2 linked regions of the Oryctolagus cuniculus genome follow. The main gene of each other region encodes a partner of the protein of the gene in region 2 in a complex. Links are inferred from orthologs where the notes say so. Each region holds a gene or a part of one and is shown on either strand. Other genes may lie near its edges. The genes, in order: PKN1 and NOD2.

Evidence for each region.
Region 1: NOD2 (region 2) and PKN1 share a complex: the UniProt entries of both Homo sapiens proteins name them as parts of the signaling complex. The link is inferred for Oryctolagus cuniculus from reciprocal best matches to the Homo sapiens genes NOD2 and PKN1.

Annotation. Positions count from the first base shown.
Region 1 is NC_091447.1:63,110,141-63,113,925, reverse strand, and holds the end of PKN1 (serine/threonine-protein kinase N1), read right to left. Parts: coding exon 3,725-3,785; intron 3,647-3,724; coding exon 3,571-3,646; intron 3,466-3,570; coding exon 3,374-3,465; intron 2,699-3,373; coding exon 2,522-2,698; intron 2,323-2,521; coding exon 2,260-2,322; intron 2,110-2,259; coding exon 2,033-2,109; intron 1,940-2,032; coding exon 1,797-1,939; intron 1,511-1,796; coding exon 1,403-1,510; intron 1,324-1,402; coding exon 1,243-1,323; intron 785-1,242; coding exon 581-784; 3' UTR 501-580; downstream 1-500. UniProt on the Homo sapiens protein: PKC-related serine/threonine-protein kinase involved in various processes such as regulation of the intermediate filaments of the actin cytoskeleton, cell migration, tumor cell invasion and transcription regulation.
Region 2 is NC_091449.1:34,248,147-34,251,951, reverse strand, and holds part of NOD2 (nucleotide-binding oligomerization domain-containing protein 2), read right to left. Parts: coding exon 3,437-3,805; intron 1-3,436. UniProt on the Homo sapiens protein: Pattern recognition receptor (PRR) that detects bacterial peptidoglycan fragments and other danger signals and plays an important role in gastrointestinal immunity.

The sequences.
Region 1 (3,785 bases), on a different chromosome or scaffold from region 2:
CGGGTGGCACGTGCAAAGCGCCCAACCTTTGCGAGGGTAAATGAAGCTACCGGGGGTGTAAATGAAGCGTCCCATCGGAGCCGCAGCATCTACTGTTGGCCGCTAGGGGCGGCAGAGGCACCGCGAGCGCCGATTGGACGAGTGCAGTTCCCGGACTTGCCACGCGAGGGCGGAGAGACACCGGACGCTCCTCAGTCGAGGGGGAGGGTCCCCAGGGTGGGGAGCCAGAGCCGCAGGTGCATGTGCACAACAGCACCGCCGCGGCCCTGGGGCTGGGGCTCCGGGGGCTCCGGGGGCTCCGTGGAAGACTCTCGCAACCATGCTGTTCACTAGGGCCCTGAGAGCCCCTGGCACAGCCCCCAAGCCCCTACCCCACCCCATCACGGCCTTGAACCCACCACCCACCGCCCCGTCCCCTCCCATGCTAGCCCAGGGGACCACCGCCCCCTCACCCGTGCCTGCTTCCCTCCCCAATAGCGCGCACAAGAACACTCGCACAATGCGTGGATGGGGCGAACCCCAAGGGCCTTTTTAAAAACTAGGATCCCTGGGTCAGGGGGCGGGCAGGAGAGGGGGGCGGCTAGCAGCCCCCAGCCACAAAGTCGAAGTCCCGGAAGGCCGCCTGCTCGGCGGCGGTGAGGGGCCGCGCGTCGCGGGGGGGGCTCAGTGTGGGGGCCTCGCCCGTGAACTCCTCGTCGAAGTTGCTGACGTCGGTGCGGCCGGCCAGCGTGGGCACGAAGGGTGGCGGCAGGCGCCGGGCCAGCAGGGCGTCCCAGCCCAGCGTCTGCGGGGAGGGAGAGAGTGGGTGGGCATGAAGGGGTCGGGGAGGGGGGGCTGGCGAGGACCACCAAGGCACAGGTGCACGGGGGCGGGAGGAGGGGGTGGACGTGAGGGGTCCAGGGGTGTGGCCTGGCCAGGACCACCAAGGCGCAGGTGCATGGGGGCGGGAGGAGAGGGTGGACGTGAGGGGGTCCCGGGGGCTGCAAGACGCAGGTGCATGGGGGCGGGAGGAGAGGGTGGGCACGAAGGGGGGGGGCTGGCGAGGACCACAAAGGCGCAGGTGCACGGGGGCGGGAGGAGGGGGTGGACGTGAGGGGGTCCCGGGGGCTGCAAGACGCAGGTGCATGGGGGCGGGAGGAGGGGGTGGACATGAGGGTCCGGGGGCTGCAGGGGAGGGAGATGAGGGTATGGGGACAGGATGACGAAGGCTGGGGGGGGTCTGGGGGAAGAGCGGCCCCTCACCCTGAAAAACGGCTGCTTTTTGACATCCTCCGCGTCGCGCTCGCTGGACCCCAGCCGGCGCTCCGGGTTCCTCCGCAACAGCTGGGGGGGGAGGAAGGGGCGCTGGGTCAGGGTCTGCCCTCCCGGGGCGGCGGCAGGGGCGGGGGCCGGGGCCGCTCACCCTCCGCATGATGCCGATGGCTTCGGCCGACAGGAAGCGGGGATAGCGGACTTCATCGTTGACGATGCTGTCGAACACCTCTTCTTCGTCGTCCCCTGGGAATGGGGACTGGGGCGGGGGGGGGGGGGCGGAGGACAGCGGCGGGCGGGGCTGAGCCGCGCATGCGTGCGCAGACCACCCCTCCCCCTCCCCGGCTGCACCTGCTGCACCTGCGCTGGGTGGCTGGGGCTGGGGGAGGAGGTGCCGGCTGGCGCGCCAGGGTAAGTATCCCATTTGTCAGGTGCACAAACTGAGGCCGGGGAGGCCGAGCTACCCCACCCCCGACCCCGACCCCCCAGCTCCCGGCTGGCGGGGGCCGGGGAGCAGCTTCGTGGGGGAGGGGAGGGGTCCTCACCTCACCAACCAGCATCTCGTAGAGCAGCACCCCTAGCCCCCACCAGTCCACGGCCCGCGTGTATGACGTGTCCGTCAGCACCTCCGGCGCCAGGAACTCGGGGGTCCCACAGAAAGTGCTGGTCCGGTCCCCGTAGCCCATCCCTGGGGGAGGCGATGGGGGAGGGGCGCTGGGCTGCAGACTCCACCCCTCCCCACCGACCCCAAAGCCCCCAAACCCCGGCTGCAGCCCCTCACCCTCCTTGCAGAGCCCAAAGTCTGCGATCTTGACGTAGCCCTCGGTGTCCAGGAGCAAATTGTCCAACTTCAGGTCCCTGCGGGGGCGGGGCGTGAGGATGGGCGGGGCAGAGGGGCGGGGCGTGAGGAGGGCAGGGGCGGCGGTGGGACTGAGGGCAACCTCAGGGGCCTGAGCACACACGTGCACGCAGACCCTGCCCGGCGGGCATGGCCGCGCATGCGCTCACCTGTAGACGATCTTGTGTTCGTGCAGGAACTGCAGGCCAAGCACCACGCAGGCCGAGTAAAAGCTGCGGGCGGGGCGGGGCGGGGGAGAGAGGGGCGGCTGTGAGGATGCTGGGGCGGGGGGGGGGGGGGGGGGCGCAGGCGGCTGTGAGGACGAGGGGGCGGAGGGGTGGAGGGGCGCAAGTGGCTGTGAGGATGCCCGGGGGCGGGGCGGGGGGCGCAGGCGGCTGTGAGGACGCGGGGCGGGGGCGGGGCTCGGCTCACGCGGCGCGCGGCTCGGAGAACACGTCGCTGTGGATGTGCAGCATGAGGTCCCCGCCCGGGGAGTACTCGAGCACGAAGCACACGTGCTCGGGCGTCTGGAAGCAGCCGAACAGGTTGACCAGGAAGGGGTGGCCGGCGCTGGTCACGGCCGCCAGGATCCGCTTCTCGCACATGAGGCTGGGGGCGGGGACGGACGTCAGTGCCCGCTGCCCCTCCCGGCGCTGGGCGAACCCCCCACACACACTCCGCTGTGCAGTTTCGGGCAGGTGCCTTGACGCCTCTGAGCCTTGGGGCTGCTGCGGGGGGCGTGCGGGAAGCCCCCGTGGGCTCTGGGCTCAGGCACAGTGGCGACTCAAGATCCCCGGGGGTCGAGCCCCGGAGGTCCACTGGACTTGTGAGACAGAGAGGGCCCGACGCACTGGAGGGCAGGTGGGGCTGAAAAACGCCCCCTGCCCAGCACCTGGATGCAGCCAGGCCTGAAGGCCGCCCTTCCAAGCCTTCTCCTATCCGGGCCAATAAACTCCTTTATTTTAAGCCTTTCTGACTTGGGTTCGCCATCATTGGGGGGGGGGGGGGGGGCTGGGACAAGTCTCGCGTGCCTCTGCCCTGGGCAGAGTCGTTCTGGGACCCCTGGTGAGGCAGGACAAGTGGCTTCCCCTACCTCACCCCCGGGGATGCCCCAAGCACAACGGGCAGAGGTGGGATCTGAACACAGGCCCCTGACCCCGAAGCAGAGCCACGCGGGGACACCATGTACGGTGGCTGCCTGGGGGCTGAGGACTGTCACGGGGTCACTGTCCCTGCTGTCACCCAGAACGCAGATGCCCCCAGAGGGCCAGGGCAGGTCCCCACCTCTCCACCTCGTCCCGGGCCACGATGTCCCCTTTCTTCAAAGCTTTGATGGCGAACAGCTCCCCGCTGGACCGGAATTCGGACAGCAGCACCTGTAACCACAGCGGTACCGGGTGGCTGACCCGGGGGACCCGGGGGTGGGGGTGGGGGTGGGACCTGGACGCGCTGGGGGCCCCGCTGCCCACGGCCTGCCTCACCTTTCCAAAGTGACCCCGGCCCAGCACCGCCAGGAACTTGAAGTCCTCGAGGCTCAGGGGCGCCTTCCTCAGGGGGCTGCGGAGAGAGGGCGCGGGTGCTGGGGGCGGGGCAGCGGGCTGGGGCGTGTCCCGGGTGCAGGGGCGGGGCTGGCACCTGCACAGGGCGGGGCCTGGGGTCTCCTGGGTCTCCAGAGGCAGCTCGGGAGTGCTCGAGG
Region 2 (3,805 bases):
CAAGCATACCCCTACACCTTATTTATATTTTCCTTGTCTTCACCATGAACCAATATCATTCCTTCTCTCAGCTCCTGCTGCCTGAGTCAATTGAGGACATTCATTTCACCCTACAGCAGTGCTTAGCCTTGACCTTCTCCTGGGAGATGGAACAGCCCCTGGCAAGCTTCCCACCCAAAGTACCCAACAGTCCGCTTCTTCTGACCATACTCCTGCTGGACAACCAGTATCTAATTTGTGTCAGGCCTACCAGGTCCTCCAGCTATAGTGAGCCCCGTATTTCCCCAGACTCATTCACAACCCCATTCACCAACTTCCCACAGGGGCCCTTATAGCCTCCCAGGGAGGGGGAAGCCAGACCATGACCCTGAGACTGTCTGGCTTCTCTGCCCCGAAAACTTTTATCCAACAAAGAGCAACTGGCCCTTGCCTTACGCAGCTATGTTTGGCTTGCTACTCAGTTTTTCAAAATAAAAATAATCTATTGTTTGGGAATTTATTTTGAAATAAATAGTGCTAAAATTATGTTAAGGCAAAAAATGATGAACATTCCTTTGGATAATGGATACCTGTGCTAATGTTACTTGGAAAAGGGCCTGGGTAAGAGTGGCATTCTATCTCTCACCCTGGGTTATGGGAGTCTGTTTATGTCATATCTATAAAATGTGCACACTTTCTGTAGGCATTTCCTACAGTTCCCAGTGAATAAGTGTTTAAGTTATTATTGTGGTAGGAGCCAAGCAACTCCAGGCTCAGTCTGACACCTCAGCCCATCAACTTCAGCAGGTGTATGAGTCAGATGGGCAGCTGGTCTCACAGCTGCTGTTGTCAGCCTCAGGTTGCCTAATCACTGCTACACCCAACTGAACAAGTTTGCCACACCAAGCTGCCACATATTATGATGGAGAGGAGCACAGGCTTTGGAGAAAAACAGGCCTGGCTTCAAATTCTAACTGGATTGCCTCCCAGAGACATGATTTGGGCAGTTTCTTCTTCTTTTTTAATCTGAAAGGCCAACAGGGCCATCTCCCATCCACTGGTTCATTCCCCAAATGCCCACAGTGGCCAGGAGTAGGCCAGGCCGAAGCCAGGAGCCTGGAACTCAATCCAGTTCTCCCACTGGAGTGGCAGGGACCCAACAACTTGAATCATCAAATTCTGCCTCCCAGGATGCATATTAGCAGGAATCTAGACTCAGGAGTGGAGGTATGACGCAAACCTGGGCACCCCAACACAGGACACAAGCTTTCCAAATGGTGTCTTAATTAACCCTATGCCAAACATACACCCTAGACTTAGTTCTTTATCTGCATTTTGTTTTATTCCATAGCATTTTTCTATCCTCAACCCGAAATCAATGACAGCCATCTCTCTACAGGAAACTAAAATATCCAAATGTTAGTTGGACACAACGCAAGTGCCACCCACAGTCCATCAGAAGTTCAGCCACTGAGAGAAGTCCATGACATCAGCGAATCACAGACTGTCAGAGCTCAAAGGCAGGGCAGAGAGAATTAGATTCTGAAAACATAAGCATCAGGCAGAGCGGCTCCTGTGAAATCCACAGTCTTCAGATCTAGGGCCCACTGCCCCTTCCACTCACTCAGCTCAGTCTCCACATTCAGTATTGGTTATGGTTGTCTTCTTAGACTTTTCCTAAAATAATTTTAACCCTTTAAAATTCGGCCTTTCTCCTTTCCAAATCTGAGCTTAAATGGTTATAAATCATAACCTTAAATGGTTATAAATTTCCCTCTATGTCCTGCCCTAGCTGCAATCCTGTAGAATTTGATAATAATATTCTCACTGTTGTTTGGTTCTGAATATGTTCTAATTTCCATTATGATTTCTTTTTTGGCTCATTTTTTTTTCTTTTTTTTTTCTTTTTTATTTTTTGACAGGCAGAGTGGACAGTGAGAGAGAGAGACAGAGAGAAAGGTCTTCCTTTGCCGTTGGTTCACCCTCCAATGGCCGGCGCGGCCGGCGCGCTGCGGCCGGCGCACCGCGCTGATCCGATGGCAGGAGCCAGGAGCCAGGTGCTTTTCCTGGTCTCCCATGGGGTGCAGGGCCCAAGCACCTGGGCCATCCTCCACTGCACTCCCTGGCCACAGCAGAGAGCTGGCCTGGAAGAGGGGCAACCGGGACAGAATCCGGCGCCCCAACCGGGACTAGAACCCGGTGTGCCGGCGCCGCTAGGCGGAGGATTAGCCTAGTGAGCCGCGGCGCTGGCCTGGCTCATTTTTTTATTCACTAATCCAAATACTTCTTCTATTCATGTCGTGCCTCCTATGGTCCCAAGAAATCTAGGCTTCCTTCTACAAACCCCTCAGAGCTTTGGGACCAGACTACACCGTCAAACACTTGATCAAAGATGACAAGACAGAAGCTTATGACTTCTCAGGTGCATTGATTTTGGCCCCCAACAGGTCATATAAGACACCAAAGTAGGTACGATGACCCATATGTCTTCTGTAATCTCCTTGGAGGTGGTGCTCAAGGTATAACTGCAGGCTCTGTGTGCACTGCGTTTGGGGTCCACACAGGGTCTGCTCTATAAATACTTGGCCACCATGACCCAGTTTTCAACCACGCTTGAAGACTGATTAGCTTACTTTATCAGTTTCCACCTAGCCTCATCTAAACTTACTAGAACAACAAATATATATATTTAAAAAATAGATGAGAGCAGGACATTGTGGCTTGGCACGTTAAGCCACCACTTGAGTTGCCCATATCCCATATCTGAGAGCTCATTCCGAGTCCCAGCTACTCTGTTTCTTGCTAATGGGTCTTGGAGGTAGCAGATGCTGGACGATATACTTGGGCCCCTGCAACCCACAAGGGAGACCCAGATGGGGTTCCTGACTCCTGGCTTCAGCTTCCCCACCCTAGCTGTTCAGGCATTTGGGGAGTAAACCAGCAGATGGAAGATCTTTGTCTCATTTCTCTCTCTCTCTCTCTCTCTCTCTCTCTCCCCAACCTTCCTCTCCCTCTCTCCTTCCCTCTTTCTCTGCCTTTCAAATAAATAAAAATAAATAAATAAAATTTGTAAAAGACAGCAATCAAAGTGTACAAGCACTGGCAACAGGAATGAGGGAAGTCATGATGATTAACAGGCTGATGATATTAACTATGTGCCAAGCACTCCTCAAAGCAGCACACAAATCAGTTCATTGACTTCTCCCAAAAACCTTCTGCTTCCATAGAGGAGCCTGAAGATGCAGCTCAATGCTGCACCATGCTGGTTGCAGAACGGAAGCCCTTGACCACACCACACTTCTTCTGTCACAAGGTCTATTTCCAACCATCGAGAGCAACGTGCACCTGCCTGCCTTTCTTTTTAGGGGAGGCCACACAGTTACCCCACAGAGCTGATTTCGTAAGGACCAACCACCCTCTCCCCATGACTTTTGCTGACCAGGACAGAGAGCCTTACCCTCTGGGATGACGTGAAGATGGGCAGCCTGATTTCATCACATTCGTACTGGCTGATGAAGCCCTGCTCCAGCGCCAGGTCCAGCACGCCCTCCACGTGGCTGTACAGTCTCCTGACGATGGCTGGCCGGTGACTCTGCAGGTCCTGGGCTGGGTGGAGTGAGTGGGGGTCCCAGCAGCCATGCAGCTCAGGGCACTGGCTGCTGTCCTGGGCCTCCTGGACAGCTGCGATGAGCTTCTGACAGCCCCAAGTGCCTTTATTCCAGACAGTGTCCAGGAGGCGCCTGGCCAAGTGGGACAGAGGCTGGCCCACGAGGCGGAGGCCCTCATAGTCCTCCCAGGAGAGAACTTCCCATGACAGCAGCAAGTC